2 linked regions of the Oryctolagus cuniculus genome follow. The protein of the gene in region 1 purifies or fractionates together with the protein of each later gene. This does not show direct contact. Links are inferred from orthologs where the notes say so. Each region holds a gene or a part of one and is shown on either strand. Other genes may lie near its edges.

What was found. The genes of interacting proteins can lie anywhere in the genome.
Region 2: the proteins of APOB (region 1) and VCP purify together in Homo sapiens (affinity purification with western blotting, with the first as the bait; 3 studies listed by BioGRID). This does not show direct contact. The link is inferred for Oryctolagus cuniculus from reciprocal best matches to the Homo sapiens genes APOB and VCP.

The regions. Positions count from the first base shown.
Region 1 is NC_091433.1:181,594,788-181,602,827, forward strand, and holds part of APOB (apolipoprotein B), read left to right. Parts: intron 1-713; coding exon 714-838; intron 839-1,515; coding exon 1,516-1,601; intron 1,602-2,722; coding exon 2,723-2,942; intron 2,943-3,658; coding exon 3,659-3,886; intron 3,887-4,098; coding exon 4,099-4,216; intron 4,217-4,317; coding exon 4,318-4,464; intron 4,465-5,161; coding exon 5,162-5,373; intron 5,374-5,994; coding exon 5,995-6,232; intron 6,233-6,773; coding exon 6,774-6,950; intron 6,951-8,040. UniProt on the Homo sapiens protein: Apolipoprotein B is a major protein constituent of chylomicrons (apo B-48), LDL (apo B-100) and VLDL (apo B-100). Apo B-100 functions as a recognition signal for the cellular binding and internalization of LDL particles by the apoB/E receptor.
Region 2 is NC_091432.1:198,019,869-198,027,908, reverse strand, and holds the end of VCP (transitional endoplasmic reticulum ATPase), read left to right. Parts: intron 1-793; coding exon 794-896; intron 897-2,134; coding exon 2,135-2,268; intron 2,269-2,345; coding exon 2,346-2,481; intron 2,482-2,825; coding exon 2,826-2,938; intron 2,939-3,345; coding exon 3,346-3,510; intron 3,511-3,601; coding exon 3,602-3,724; intron 3,725-4,005; coding exon 4,006-4,218; intron 4,219-4,421; coding exon 4,422-4,730; intron 4,731-4,973; coding exon 4,974-5,129; intron 5,130-6,413; coding exon 6,414-6,568; intron 6,569-6,718; coding exon 6,719-6,824; 3' UTR 6,825-7,861; downstream 7,862-8,040. UniProt on the Homo sapiens protein: Necessary for the fragmentation of Golgi stacks during mitosis and for their reassembly after mitosis. Involved in the formation of the transitional endoplasmic reticulum (tER).

The sequences.
Region 1 (8,040 bases):
TAAACACGAAAGAGTTGAGCAATCACCGCTGTGCCTGGCAGCATTCCAGGTCATTGTCCTTGGGAGCAAAAACAGGCATTCTGAGAGTAAGGACCAGAATCAGAAGAGGCTGGTGCTCTGGCCTGGATGTCTTTTCTGAGCACCTGCGGCTTGCTCAACCGCACTCTGACAAGCTCTGAGGAAAGGACAGTGGGAGACGAACCCTGCACCTTTCCCCTTGCAGGAACGCTAAGATTCATGTGCATGCCAATAAAGGACAGCGCGTGGGGTACCCAGGAAACTGGTACACTGAGCAGACAGCAGGGCTAGGCCTGACCGAGACAGCGAAAGTATTATTCACATGACTCATTGGGAAAAGCATGGACTTGAAAAACATAAAGGACTTGCACATGAAAGGCTTGCAGGCAAGGAAGTGTAGGAGTCTCATATTGTGTGAGCTGTTGTGTGTGGCAGGATGGGTGTGTGGAGGCCACAGGCACACACTTTGTGCAAGATGAGAGATCCACTGAGGTGGAATAAGAGGAACCCACAGCTCAACTCCCCTTGGCTATGCCAGCTTCTTGCCTCCCCTTATCTAAATGCCAACTGTCCAGTTCTGTTTACTGGGTTTATCTGCTGGGCAAGACTCCCATTCCTTTCTGCCTTGAAGGCAGATCCTAAGACAGGTTCAAGGCCCGAGAGCTGAACATCCTGTTCTCCGATCTCATTCACAGATCCGCCCCTTGTCAACTCTGATTAGCAGCAGCCAGTCCTGCCGGTACCTCCTGGACTCCAAAAGGAAGCATGTGTCAGAAGCCACCTGTGAGGAGCAGCACCTGTTCCTGCCTTTCTCCCACAAGTAGGTCACCTGCTGCACCCGATTTCTCACCTGACGGGTCCATGTGGGTTTCTCCACGGCCCTGTTTCAGGCTAGGCTGTGCCTGGAAGGGAGCTACGGTCAGGTACAAAGCAGACACCATCCTTATCCTCCTTTTCAAGCTGACAGGCAATAAGGTAGAAAAGCCTTAGACATGCAAACAACTTAAGAACAATGAAAGATAATCTCAGACCCAGACTTGAAGGGCTGTAGGTCCAGAAAAGCTGGATGTCATTGCAGGGGGCCTAGATTAGGAAAGGCGTGAGGAAGGATTTGGGATTTTAACTGGAGACTTGTATATCCAAATCCATCATGAAGACAACAGTCAACTGGAATTTACTTAGTAACTGCTATATCTGTGTGCTGTGCTGTGGGAGATACAAAGAATTCTGTGGCACAGAGTTAGCCTCTACCCTTGGGCCCTGCAGACTGGTAGACGGTATAAGGTACAAATACTGTGGTGGAGGGACAACTAATGTGACCAGGAGGGGGGAGGGGCTACTTGTCCGGGGGTCAAGGGTAGCTGGATCTAAAAATGCTTCAAAAGGTAGACAGGATATGGATAGGCACAGGGATGAGGGCAACAGTACACACGGAACGGGAGAATGTTCTGGGGAGCTGGCCGTCCATGACTCAAGGTCCTTCCCCCCTTTAACCAGGAATAAGTATGGGATGATGGGTCACGTGACACAGTCTTTGAAACTTGAAGAAACACCCAAGGTCAACAGCCGCTTCTTTACTGAAGGTGAGACTCCGTCCGCGTGGTTGCTGGGAAGTCTGCAGATGTGCCAGCCACGGCTTTGCTCTTTTCTGGGCCCTGGTGAATGTCTGCTGACTCATGAGTGAGGTGCACTCTGGCACTGAGGCTGGGAAACCACTTCCAGTGAGAAAGCACATTCCTTTCAGAAGCTCAAAGGGCAGTGGCATAAAGAAAAGGAAGACGTTTCCAAAGCTACCTAGGTTCCTTTACGGTCCCAAGTGTAAGGCTGCACTTAGGGTAGAACTGACTTTCTCATCCACCCTGTAGAAGGCCTGGGGCTGGTCTGCAGGAGGTGGGGCAGGTGGGAGAGGATCTTCAGGGTCAAGCCACATAGTGGTCTCAGGACTTGATCTTTAGTACTAGAGATCTCTAGTCCAACCGTAACCCCACAGTGTAGGGTATCTAAATCTACCAAACTCTCTCTTATATGCTATCTCACTGATTTCCTTGTCCACAGGAAAGTGTGAGACATACGCTTTTATGCCCATCCTACAGAGGGCGATGTGACACAGAGAGGATTAGTAATGCACCCAAGGTCACAGAACATTAGAGGCAGTGCAAACTGAGTGCCAGGTCTAATCTAAGCCAGCACTCTGCTACACCCCACTTCCATGCTCCCATGTACCCCTCCCCCTGGCAAGGCCTCCCCGCCCCACAAGCTGCTGGTAGATCCAATTAGAAGAAATGGTGGATGAGTGCCAAGAAATTGAGCCTCAGCTGTCACTGTGTCACCTCAGCACCTCCCCTCTGGTTCTCCAACAAAGGGTAATCTGATACTAGATTCCGACAAAACTGGATTCAAGTCCACCTCTGCCTCTTAGACCCAGAGGGTTCTCAGAAAACCCAAGTTGCTCATCTCTGCATCTCAGTGCTCTAATCTTTAAGTTGGGGAAGAACATGAGCCCTTGGGGGTAGACGAGTGAGTGACCACAGTTCAGTCAGTCACCTGTCACTAAGCCAGGTATCTAGCAGGTGTTGAACACACCCAGGATAATCTCTTTTCCCCCTTGCTGACGCCTCCCCAGTTCCCAGTTTCTGGTGGATGAAGATGTGTTTGGACGATAGAAATAAGTGACCCTATTCCTTTGATGCCTTCCTTCTTCCAGGTACACAGAGGGTGGGTCTGGCCTTCGAGAACACCAAGTCCACATCACCACCAAAGCAGACTGAGCCCGTGCTGAAGACTCTCCAGGAACTGAGAGCGCTGTCCGTTTCTGAGCAGAACGCCCAGCGGGCAAACCTCTTCAATAAACTGGTTACCGAGCTGAGAGGCCTCAGCAGCGAGGCGGTTGCGTCCCTCCTGCCCCAGCTGATTGAGGTCTCCAGGTATGTCTTTAATGACTGCAGCTCAGTCTTTCATACAACCTATGGCAGCTGGCCAAACCTTCAACCCTCAACCAGAGAATCTCAGAGACCATCTAAATATCAATGCAATTAATCAACTGATCAATCAGTTACTGTTTGATAGATAGAGTGCTTGCAATTCCATGGGCAACGCACACGCACACTGCATTCTAGGCAACTGTGTAGATGTTAAGTTATAAGGTAAATCATTCCCACATTTTGATGAGCATCATCTAATTCCTGTTTCTATTGAGTGTACCCTGGAAAGTTTGAGAAGATAAGCCACCTGTGCCCTATGGAAGATTACAGGCCAATGGAGAGAGAACTCAAGCAAACAAACGTGATTTCTCTACATGTGAGGTCACTGGCTCACAGTGCTAGGAAGGTTATGAAGGTTATGAAGGGACAGAGGCCAGGAATGAGACCATGTCAACGTTTGCCAGGCATGTTCTGTGTCCTAACCAAAGGACAGTAATAAGAGTCTCTTCATTTGGCTACAGGTTCAGGGGTCCTTCTGCAGACTTTCCTCAACGGTGCTCCTACAGTGGGTGGTACCCCTAGGGAAGGAGTCAAGGTTCCTGGGTTCCAAGCTGGAGGTTGAAGGATGGCTTGATTTGGATAGAGAATGAGGGGAATAGGGCACTCCTGGCAGAGACACGCCATGGGTTCTACATAACTCTCTGTACTTCTCTTCTCAGCCCCATCACTTTGCAAGCCTTAGTTCAGTGCGGACAGCCCCAGTGTTACACTCACATCCTCCAGTGGCTGAAAAGTGTAGACGCCAACCCGCTGCTGATAGATGTTGTCACCTACTTGCTGGCCTTGATCCCAGAGCCCTCAGAACAGAGGCTACAGGAGATCTTCAGTGTGACCAAGGAACAGCAGAGCCGGGCTACCTTTTATGCGCTGAGCCATGTGGTCAACAGGTGAGTCTTCAGACTGTATTGCTCTGCCTAGGAGCAGAGAAAAACCCACAGCTCTGTATGAATGTGTGCCCCTCCCTCCACTTTCAAGCCCTGCTGCTCTCTCTCTTTTCTACAGATCATTTTGAAATGACTTGAAAGAAGAAATCAGTAGACAAGTCTGGAGGTTAATCAAACCTCACAGTGAGTTCTAATTCTCCTCTCTTATTCTGTAGCTATCACATGACAACCCGTAGGGTGACCCAGGGCCTGCAGGACATTGCTGACTACCTGGTGGAGCAGATTGGCACAGAGTGCAATGGAGATGAAGACCGCACCTACCTGATTCTCAGGGTACTTTCAGGCTTTTGTGTCAAATGCGCTATGTCACAGATGCTTTTCCCACACACCTCTTACTTATCCTACACCCTGATCAATTCTTTCCCCTAATGCAGGCCATCGGAAATATGGGCAGAACCATGGAGCAGGTAACACCAAGAGTGAAGAATTCTGTCCTGAAATGCATCAAAAGTACAAAGCCATCCCTGCTGATTCAGAAAGCCGCCATCCAGGCCCTGAGGAAGATGGAAATTACAGACGAGGTAAAATCCACAGAGAAGGTCTGAAAGTGAATGTTTGTTCAGATGAACAGGGATTTGGACGGCACAAGGGGAATGAGATTTTAAACTTCATCACTCTGGTGACTTTCTTCTAGTCTTTTCGAGTTGCATATTTCAACAAGTCTATTGACTTGAGTGCCAAGCACGTGTGGCATGCGAGCTCGCTGCTCCTGCAGCAAGTAGAACACAGAACTGCGCTGCCTGCCGGCCTCCTTTCATCACGGCCGTCTTGGGAAAACATGCTTAATTGTCCCAAGTGCCCCCAGACCAGGACAGTGAACCAGGCCCCTGCTTACACGGCAAGGACTCCAGAGCTTTGCAGACTGCCGCATTTATTAGCCCCTACTTCTCACTAACCCTTTCCACTCTGATCCTCACATTGAAAGAACAATGTTAAAACAACTTTATCTTCACTCAGTGGCAGATCTCATAGCAAGTCATAGTTAGTATGCCCTAACGCATCTGAATTCACATTTTTGATGGGAGTCTTCTGAGAGTCCTATCTTGAGCTGGTTGCTCTGGGGGAAAGTGTGAGAAGATTCAGTACCAGCATGTGAAGTTATTAGGAAGACACTAGACTTGCACAGAAGAAAGAGCTAGCAAGTCATGCCAGTGTTGGTCATACACAGTCTACACTCAACCAAAGGACACCCATAACAGTCTTCTCTCTGGGCTGCAGGTCCAGGGTGTCCTTCTTCAGACTTTCCTCAATGATACTTCTCCAGTGGACAAGCGACTGGCTGCCTATCTCATGCTGATCAGGGGAGCTTCCCAGTCAGCTATTAACCAAATTGCCCAACTTCTCCCCGGGGAACGGAATGAGCAGGTGAAGAACTTTGTGGCTTCCCACCTTGCCAACATCTTGAACTCAGAAGAACTGTACATCCAAGAGTAAGTAAGAGTAATCGCCCCATACCCATCTGCTTCTGAGGGCCCAGGGCTAGAATTCCAGGCCTCAATTCAGGTAGAGCTACTGCCTCCCCTTCATGGAGTGTGCTTTCTTCTGCAACAAACCCTTGTGCAAATGTGCAGCAGAGCCTAAGCCAAAGATCTAGGAGAATGCTACCCATATATTAAAATTGCAACTAGAGGGGCACTAGGTTAACCCTCTGCCTGCAGCGTCAGCATCCCATATGGGCGCCGGTTCTAGTCCCGGTTGCTCCTCTTCCAGTCCAGCTCTCTGCTGTGGCCTGCGAAAGCACTAAAAGATGGCCCAATGCTTGGGCCCCTATACCCGCATGGGAGACCAGGAAGAAGCACCTGGCTCCTGGCTTCAGATCAGCGCAGCTCCGGCCATTGCGGCCATTTGGGAAGTGAACCAATGGAAGGAAGACCTTTCTCTCTGTCTCTCTCTCACACTGTCTGTAACTCTAGCTGTCAAATAAATAAATAAAATCTTTTAAAAATTTTTTAAAAATTGCAACTAGAAATCCATACTTTCTTGTGGTATAAGAGACAGTGGGTAAGTCACATAGTGTGTGGGCTCAAAATATGTTTCTTCTTTCCATACAGTCTGAAAAATGTAGTGAAAGAAGCTCTAAGAGAATCTCAACTTCCAACTGTCATGGACTTCAGAAAATTTTCCCGGAACTATCAACTTTCCAAATCTGTTTCACTCCCATCACTTGACCCAGTCTCAGCCAAAATCGAAGGGAATATGATTTTTGATCCAAATAATTACCTTCCTAAAGAAAGCATGCTGAAAACGACCCTTACTGTCTTTGGATTTGCTCCAGCTGACCTTTTCGAGGTATGCATGAGACTGAAGCAGAGTCATAAGTTCTCTAGTCCATTCTGAATGACACCATAAGAAGAAAGCTAAGGGAGCCACAATCCAGCCTGGGCAGGAGCAGGAACCATCAGGCAGTCTGTACCGCCCCTTTGAGGCTCATCTACCTCTCCCCTCACAAGGGGTCCTCTGAAGCAATTCTTAGTGATAATGGAAATGCAGATATGCCAGAGAAGCCCTGCAATCCAAAATCCATGGAAATCCATGGACTGTGTAGTCATATCTGGTTCAAACACCAAATCCACTCTCAACTCTGAATCCCTGGTTCAATTATTTATCCTCTCTGAACTTCTGCCACCTCTTCTAGAAAAAGGTGAATGCATCCTAAGATTCTAGTGGGATTTAAATAAGACACCTGATGTGAAGTGTTAAGCTCAGCTCCTGCCCCATGGTAGTGATCAAACACTGGTATAATTAAATGGACATAGAGGGGACTAGGAGACCAACATATAACAGCAATAAAACCCAATGGGTTTTTCTTGCCTGATTTTTTTTTTATCAGATTGGCTTAGAAGGAAAAGGATTTGAGCCAACGCTGGAAGCTCTTTTTGGAAAGCAAGGATTTTTCCCAGACAGTGTCAATAAGGCTTTGTATTGGGTTGATGGTCAAGTTCCTGATTATGTTTCCAAAGTCTTGATGGACCACTTTGGCTACACCAAGGGAGATAAGCGTGAACAGGTAGGTATTTGCTGAGTAGCCCCCCCAAGGAAAATGTTTGAGTCTCAATGCCAAAACTTTATGTTCTAAGCCTGGGAGTCACACAGGTTCTGTGTGACGGAAGTGATCCTCACTAACCAGTCCTGTGTGGGTGAGGGGTAAAAACCAGTGTCCCCTGCAGCTCAGAGCCCTCGAAAGCGTCCCAGGCACCAGACTCACCAGAGGCACTCTAGCACAGTGACGCGCTTGTCAATTCTGAGCATGGGTTCGAATTCCAGCCTCACTATCTTCAAGCCTTGTACACCTGCTTGATGTTAGGTGTGTCTGTTTCTGCATCCCCAGAGAACTACTTATAATCCATAGGGACTAAGGGGCTATTGAACAACTAAGGGACATAAGGTTTTTAAAGATTAAGTGAAATAAGATATTTAATATGCTAAGCATAGGCCGGCACTGTGGCTCAATAGGCTAATCCTCTGCCTTGCGGCACCGGCACACCGGGTTCTAGTCCTGGTCGGGGCGCCGGATGCTGTCCCGGTTGCCCCTCTTCCAGGCCAGCTCTCTGCTATGGCCCGGGAGTGCAGTGGAGGATGGCCCAAGTGCTTGGGCCCTGCACCCCATGGGAGACCAGGAGAAGCACCTGGCTCCTGGCTTCGGATCAGTGCGATGCACCGGCCACAGTGCACCGGCTGCGGCAGCCATTGGAGGGTGAACCAACGGCAAAAGGAAGACCTTTCTCTCTGTCTCTCTCTCTCTCTCACTGTCCACTCTGCCTGTCAAAAATTAAAAAAATAAAAATTAAAAAATTAAAAAATGCTAAGCATAGTACCTGAGCCTGATAAGCAGATCTAAGTTTTAGATTAATATTTTCAATATTGTTACCTGCTTTCTTTGGCTCTTAATCATATCAGTGTACTAGCTGGTTCAAATGGTTCAAAAGAGCCACTTTAGAGCTAGCAATGACACCCCTCCCTTTAAGGAGTAGAACATGGGTTGTATGTTCAGAAGTTTCTTATTCTTTAATTCATTGCCAGTCAAAGTGTGGTCCGGTGATGAGCACTGTATGAGGACTCATCGGAAATGCAGGCCTCACTCAGGATCTGCTAAATCC
Region 2 (8,040 bases), on another chromosome or scaffold:
GTTAACTCTGATATACAACTCACTGAGGACAGAGGTCCTGCATGGGAAGTTAGTGCACAGTGACTCTTGTTGTTGATTTAACTATTAACAGTGCTTATGTATGATGTCATTGACTACCCGAGGCTCTTGACATGAGCTACCTAGGCTATGGAAGCCTTTTGAGTTCACAAACTTTGTCAATATTTGGACAAGGCCACAAGCAAAGTGAAAGTTCTCCCTTTAGAGTAGAGTACATCCTTCTTTGATGGCCACTTCTTTCTGCTGGGGTCTCAGTAACAGAGATCCTTCATGTAGAACGTTTTTTGCCACAATGTCTTACCTTTCTATGAAAGGCTCATTCTTAATGGTGTCAGAATTGAATTCTTTTTTTTTTTTTTTTAAGATTTATTTATTTATTTGAAAGTCAGAATTACACAGAGAGAGAGAGGTCTTCCATCCGATGGTTCACTCCCCAATTAGCTGCAACGGCCAGAGCTGTGCCAATCGGAAGCCAGGAGCTTCCTCCGGGTCTCCCATGCAGGTGCAGGGGCCCAACGACTTGGGCCGTTTTCCACTGCTATCCCAGGCCACAGCAGAGAGCTGGATCAGAAGTGGATCAGCTGGGACTTGAACCGGCACCCATATGGGATGCTGGCACTGCAGGCCAGGGCGTTAACCTGCTGCGCCACAGTGCCGGCTCCCAGAATTGAATTCTAATTCTCACCCTTTCTAGAGTCCTAGTCAAGCCAGTTTGAGGTGAGTGGCGTTGAGAAGTCAGGAGTCTAATTCTAATTGCTCTTATGTTGGTCCCCAGCCTCCTCGGGGAATCCTGCTCTATGGACCTCCTGGAACAGGGAAGACCCTGATTGCCCGAGCTGTGGCAAATGAAACTGGGGCCTTCTTCTTCCTGATCAATGGTAAGAGATTTGATTTGTCTTGTGTCTGTCTAGAACTAGCCCTGGCCTGAACAGCTCATTGATAACATCCATTTGCAGCCATGCTCTCATGCACACTTTAGCATCTTTTGCTGGGGTACATTATAGACAGGTCAGCAACAAGTGGGAGATTTTTTTTTTTTTTTTTTTTTTGACAGGCAGAGTGGACAGTGAGAGAGAGAGACAGAGAGAAAGGTCTTCCTTTTGCCGCTGGTTCACCCTCCAATGGCCGCCGCGGCCGGCACGCTGTGGCTGGCGCACTGCACTGATCCGATGGCAGGAGCCAGGTGCTTCTGGTCTCCCATGGGGTGCAGGGCCCAAGCACTTGGGCCATCCTCCACTGCACTCCCTGGCCACAGCAGAGAGCTGGCCTGGAAGAGGGGCAACCGGGACAGAATCCGGCGCCCCGACTGGGACTAGAACCCGGTGTGCCAGCGCCGCAGGCGGAGGATTAGCCTAGTGAGCCGTGGCGCCGGCCAAGTGGGAGATATTTTATACTGATACTTTTTGTCTTTTCCCCTCAACCTAGAAAAAGTTGTGTACATTTTTGTAAGGAATATTTATGTATTTAAAAGAGTTACAGAGAGAGGGAGAGACAGAGATCTTCCATCCGCTGGTTTACTCCCCAAATGACCACAAGGGCCCAGTCTGAGCCAGGCTGAAGCCAGGAGTCAGGAACTTCATCTGGGTCTCCTATGTGGGTGGCATTTAGGCCATCTTCCACTGCTTTTCTAGGCCTTTAGCAGGGAGCTAGATTGGCAGTAGAGCTGCTGAGACGTGAACTGGTTCCCATATGGGATGCTTGTGTGGCATGGTGATAGCTTTACCTGCTACTCCACAATGCCAGCCCCAAGATATTTAAGGGGGAGCAAGTTGGAATTAAAAAAAAAAATAAAATAAAGGTATGATGCCTATTTGAGAGGCTTAGGGAAGATGGGCCAACACCACCTGTCTCTTAGAGAATGTTAAGCTGTAGAGATCCAGCTTGTGTGATGTCTCCTGCTCTTGCCAGAGACCTTTACACTTTGAAAAAAATGTGCTTGGTTTCTCTACCCCAGCTTTGTGGCTGTCCTGGGTGATAGCTGGCATTGGTGAGAAGGTAGACGGAAGTTAGTATCTTCTCATCCAGGACCTATCCTAGGGCAGATAAGGTAACTGATTTATTTTGGGACTGGGAAAGGTTGTAATTTTATCATTGTCTTCATTTTGTTTTCTTTCAGGTCCTGAGATCATGAGCAAGTTGGCTGGTGAGTCTGAGAGCAATCTTCGTAAAGCCTTTGAGGAAGCGGAGAAGAATGCTCCTGCCATCATCTTCATTGATGAACTGGATGCCATTGCTCCCAAAAGAGAGAAAGTAGGAGTTTACCCGAGGGAATGGTGGGAGGTTGAAAGGTCCTAACATTGCTTCTGACCAGACATTTGTCCTGCCAGACTCACGGGGAGGTGGAGCGGCGTATTGTATCACAATTGTTGACCCTTATGGATGGACTAAAGCAGAGGGCACACGTGATAGTTATGGCAGCAACCAACAGACCCAACAGCATTGACCCGGCACTGCGACGGTTTGGTAAGGACTCCAGCTTCCTTCACCCTTTCCTTGCTCATAGAGAGATTATAGATCTATTGAGTTTAATCTCTATCCTTCATCTGAGTCACCTGATTTGATTATGAGGATTCCTTGAAGTTTTTTTGCAGTGGTAGGGCACAAGGGTCCTTGTATCCTGTATCCTGTCTAGAGTGACCAGCCATCCTGATTGGCTTGAGACTGAGGGGTTTCCAGAGACATAGGACTTTCAGTGCTAATGCCAGTACAGTTCTGAGTTAACTGAGATGATCAGTCACTTTAGGCTTCTTCCTTTTTCCCTCTGGTCCAGAAATGAGCCCTGTCTATGTTCACACACTGTCCCACAGGTCGCTTTGACAGGGAGGTAGATATTGGAATCCCTGATGCTACAGGACGCTTGGAAATTCTTCAGATCCATACCAAGAACATGAAGCTGGCAGATGATGTGGACCTGGAACAGGTGGAGTGGTGATGAGAGCTGACCAGGAGTTAGGATATCTCTTTTCCTAGGCAGTTTGTAGGGAACTGGCTAGGGACATAAACTTAAGCTGTTACTAGATTCGTTTTGATTCATGGGTAAGGGAAAGGAAATGAGCTCAGATTGAGTTCAGGAAATCAGAGCTGGCATGTGTCTCAGTTGATAATATGTTAAAAGTAAACCTGAGTTGTTGGGCAAGTTTTATTTCTAGGCCTCAAGTCCCAGACTTGAGTATTTAAACCCTAGCCAGTGAAGGGTCTGCTAGTTAAGGAAATGGGATGACCCAGATATAGAAATCAGGGGAAGGGGCCAACATTCTGTTGTCTTCAAGCTTCCTGAAGGCAGCTCTGTCTTTGAGATGGCATAGTAAGTAGATCTTCTCTCTGCAGGTAGCCAATGAGACTCATGGGCACGTGGGTGCTGATTTAGCAGCCCTGTGCTCGGAGGCTGCTCTGCAGGCCATCCGCAAGAAGATGGATCTCATTGACCTAGAGGATGAGACCATTGATGCTGAGGTCATGAACTCCCTGGCAGTTACTATGGATGACTTCCGGGTAAGGGCCATACCTCTACCTCTGGTACAGTCGTATATACATTGACCCCTCCCCTGGTTAAGTCTCATTTCCATTTTTCCTCCCTTTTTAGTGGGCCTTAAGTCAGAGCAACCCATCAGCACTGCGGGAAACTGTGGTAGAGGTACCACAAGTAACCTGGGAAGACATCGGGGGCCTGGAGGATGTCAAACGTGAACTTCAGGAACTGGTCCAGGTAGGTTGACTTGGTCCAGGGTGAATCACTGCTTCAGTTCATTGAAGTTCATTCTCTCCTGGGTGGTCTCAGGGAGTCAGCACGTTGAAGAGTTGTGGCCACAACCGAGAGACCTGCCATTCTCTTAGAATTTGAGGCACTAGGAAGTCTTTCTGCTTCTAGAGAACCTGGATTTTACATGGTGGAGTACACCATGAAGTGGTGGGAAAGATGCTTCTGTTTGGTTAGATTTCTTTAAAAATATGAAGATAGCCTTGAATCTTTTTCTCATTTCCTTCTAGTATCCTGTGGAGCATCCAGACAAATTCCTCAAGTTTGGCATGACACCCTCCAAGGGAGTTCTATTCTATGGACCTCCTGGATGTGGGAAAACTCTGCTGGCCAAAGCCATTGCTAATGAATGTCAGGCCAACTTCATCTCCATCAAGGGTCCTGAGCTGCTTACTATGTGGTTTGGGGAGTCTGAAGCCAATGTTAGGGAAATCTTTGACAAGGTGAGCTATAGAAGGGAGAGAGGGAAGGAGGGCTATCTGTTCCCTTGCTTGGGGCAAGGTAGGGATAGAGGCTGTTTTCTTTAAGAGAATCAAACCATCTTACTGCTGGTTACCCAGGTGGGGCAGTGAAGTTCACTGCATTTTCCTTCTAAGATTTGAGACCCAGTTATGTTCCTGGTTGAGTTAGTCTGTCCGTCCTACAGGCCCGCCAAGCTGCTCCCTGTGTGCTATTCTTTGATGAGCTGGATTCAATTGCCAAGGCTCGTGGTGGTAACATTGGAGATGGTGGTGGGGCTGCTGACCGAGTCATCAACCAGATCCTGACAGAAATGGATGGCATGTCCACAAAAAAGAATGTGTTCATCATTGGCGCTACCAACCGGCCTGATATCATTGATCCTGCCATCTTGAGACCTGGACGTCTTGATCAGCTCATCTACATCCCACTTCCTGATGAGAAGTCCCGTGTTGCCATCCTCAAAGCTAACCTGCGCAAGTCTCCTGTTGCCAAGGCAGGTGCAGGGTCACAGGCCATGGGGATTACTATGAGTCCTTAGATAAAATTCATTGGGGATTTCTGAGGATGGGATTGGTCTAAAGGAAAGTGGAAGGTCTGAAGGATTATGTTATTTGAAGGAAAAATGGAGTGGCAGAAGCTGGGGCAAACTGAAGTTGGGAGTGCTTGGGTAGCCTCAAAAATTGTATATTCCAGGGAAGGAAAACCTAAATGTTGATAGCTCCTTTGCTTCTTTTAGGATGTGGATTTGGAGTTCCTGGCTAAGATGACCAATGGCTTCTCTGGAGCTGACTTAACAGAGATTTGCCAACGTGCTTGCAAACTGGCCATCCGTGAATCCATTGAAAGTGAGATCAGGCGAGAACGGGAGAGGCAAACAAACCCATCAGCCATGGTGAGTGAGTCTGCATCTTTTCCCCAGCTGTCTCAATCCTGAGGAGTCAGGGAACAGTCTCCACCATGCCCTAGAGTTGAGAATGCATGGTATTGGAAGGATGCTCTGACTAAGATGTTTATCAGGACACCAAAGAGAACACTGAAGTGAGCCTGTTTGGTCTGGAATAAGGCTGAGAAGAGATGGGCGGGCTATATGCTCAGTCTAAACTAGGTCCTGGAGGGAAATTAAAGTGTGGTTGTGTAGCAAAAAAAGGGAAAGAGCTTCAAACCCAGAATCTAATCCTAGGATCTATAGATCTCTCCTTGGTGGTTGGGGAAGGCAGCCATAGAACCCCCAAAATGAAATACAGGTTTGTATGTGTGTATGTGCAAGCTCTGTGATGGTAAGGACTCTTACCATCTCACTTGATTCCCACTGTATCCTGGCATTATATTTAGGACTTAATGAGTGACTTTCTTTGTCTTTTGGAAGGGGTCTGTGACATTTTTCCCTTCCTTAGGAGCTTAAAATCTGATGTCATAATCCTAGGAAGCTATTTCATAATTCAAAGCAATTGGGGTAGCCTCAGTGGAATAGAAAGGGTTTGACAAAGGGAAAAGCAGCCCACATAATTTTCTCTAGTACTAGAATTGCAGGAATTTTTTAAGATTTATTTTTATTCAAGAGGCAGAGTTAACAGAGAAAGGGAGAGACAGAGAGATCTTCCATCTTCTGGTTTACTTCCCAAATAGCCGCAACAACTGGAGCTGGGGCCAGGCTAAAGCCAGGAACTTATCTGGGTCTCCCATGTGGGTGCATTTGGGTCATCTTCCACTGCTTTCCCAGGGGCATTAGCAGGGAGCTGGATCAGAAGAGGAGCAGCGGGGACTTGAACTGGCACTCATGGGGTGCTGGTATGGCAGACAGGTGATGGCATAACCCTCTGATGCTGACATCAGTTTTCATGCTTTTTGATAGAAATATGTAAAGTCTGTGGCTATTACCATAGTTGAGATAAAGAAATTTCTGTTCCATAAAGTGTCCTCAGGCCACTTGAGACAGCATCTTCTCTAAGCCCCTGGCAACCACTGATATGATTTTCATCTGTATAGTTTGCCCTTTGCGAGAATGCACTGATGAATTTTTAAGCAGAGCAGTGACTCAGTCTTAGGAAGTTTAGGTTGGATTTGGAGGGGCAGGCAAACCAGTAAACTCCCACAATAATGAGAGGCAGGGAGGCCAGGAATGGAGTCCAGGCTAATCCTTAACTACTCTGGTGGTCTGTGTTTACCAACACTATAGGAAGTAGAAGAGGATGATCCAGTGCCAGAGATTCGCCGAGATCACTTTGAGGAAGCCATGCGCTTTGCCCGCCGTTCTGTCAGTGACAATGACATTCGGAAGTATGAGATGTTTGCCCAGACCCTTCAGCAGAGTCGAGGATTTGGCAGCTTCAGGTAACTGAGGGCAGTGAGCAGTGGTTAAATTGCCTTGGGGACCTACACAAACAAGGTGTTGGGAGTCCCTAAGGAGGCTAGATGGGTAGTTCTGAAAATCCTGTGCAGGCCTGTTCTAACTTTCATTTTTGATTCTGCTCTTGTACACAGATTCCCTTCAGGGAACCAGGGTGGAGCTGGCCCCAGTCAGGGCAGTGGAGGCGGCACAGGCGGCAGTGTGTATACAGAAGACAATGATGATGACCTGTATGGCTAAGTGATGTTGGCCAGCATGCAGCGAGCTGGCCTGGCTGGACCTTGTTCCCAGGGGGTGGGGGCGCTTGCCCAGGAGGGACCAGGGGTGCGCCCACGGCCTGCTTCATTCTTCAGTCTGAACAGTTCAGCTACAGTCAGACTCTGGACAGGGGGTTTCTGTTGCAAAAAATACAAAAGCGATAAAAATAAAAGCAATTTTCATTTGGGAGGCGGAGAGTGAATTACCAACAGGGAATTGGGCCTTGGGCCTACGCCATTTCTGTTATAGTTTGAGGCAGTGCAGGGGATCTGTGTGGGATGTGAACCCAGGCACTAGCGCCACCCCCACAGGAAAGCATCTGCACTTCACTCAATGCTGCCCAAGCCCTCCCTTCCCCCTATCCAACCTGGGTAGGTGGGTGAGGGGCCACAGTTGCTGAGTGTTTATATAGAGAGTAGGTTGATTTTTATTTTACATGCTTTTGAGTTATTGTTGGAAAACTAATCACAAGCAGTTTCTAAACCAAAAAATGACATGTTGTAAAAGGATAATAAATGTTGGGTCAAAATGGAGCCTGAATCCTGGCCCCTGTGCCTGCTTCTTTTCCTGGGACGGGCCTTGGGCTACCTCTCACTGCCAAGGCACAATTCCAATGTGAAGTCCTGGAAGTAAGTCGCACCCCCCTCCCTTCCTGATTAACATCAGTGTATTTTCTCCTGCTGTTTCACCCTGCATCTGTGCCATCACTGAGTAGGACTGCAGTGGAGTAGGGGCAGGGAGCCTGATGGAGCTTCAAATGTGGAGAATGTGGTACCCCTTCACCTATGTTTGATGTGGACAATAAGGCTAGACCTGAGGAGCACCCTAATCTTGACCAAACACTGGATTGGGGTGCCCCCTGAAAAATCTTAGGGTTGCTAAAAGATAACAATCTGTCTTCAGGTGTAAACATCTAAGAACCCCAAACATTCATTCCCTGGTTGAGGATCACGTACGATTATGTCCCACTTTATGTAATTAGTATTATTAAAAAGAAACAGCTTTTTGCTATTACAAAATTCTAGAAGTGGATGTGTTTTTTCTGAAGTAACACCCTCTGTTCACAGCCTGTTCAGGTGATTGTTTGCATAATTTACTCAGTGGGTTTAGAGTATCTTCTTTATTCAACAGGTACCAAAGTAATCACTACTTGCTTCTGGGGTCAAATACAAGATGCCTTACCCAAAGCGTGGTGCAG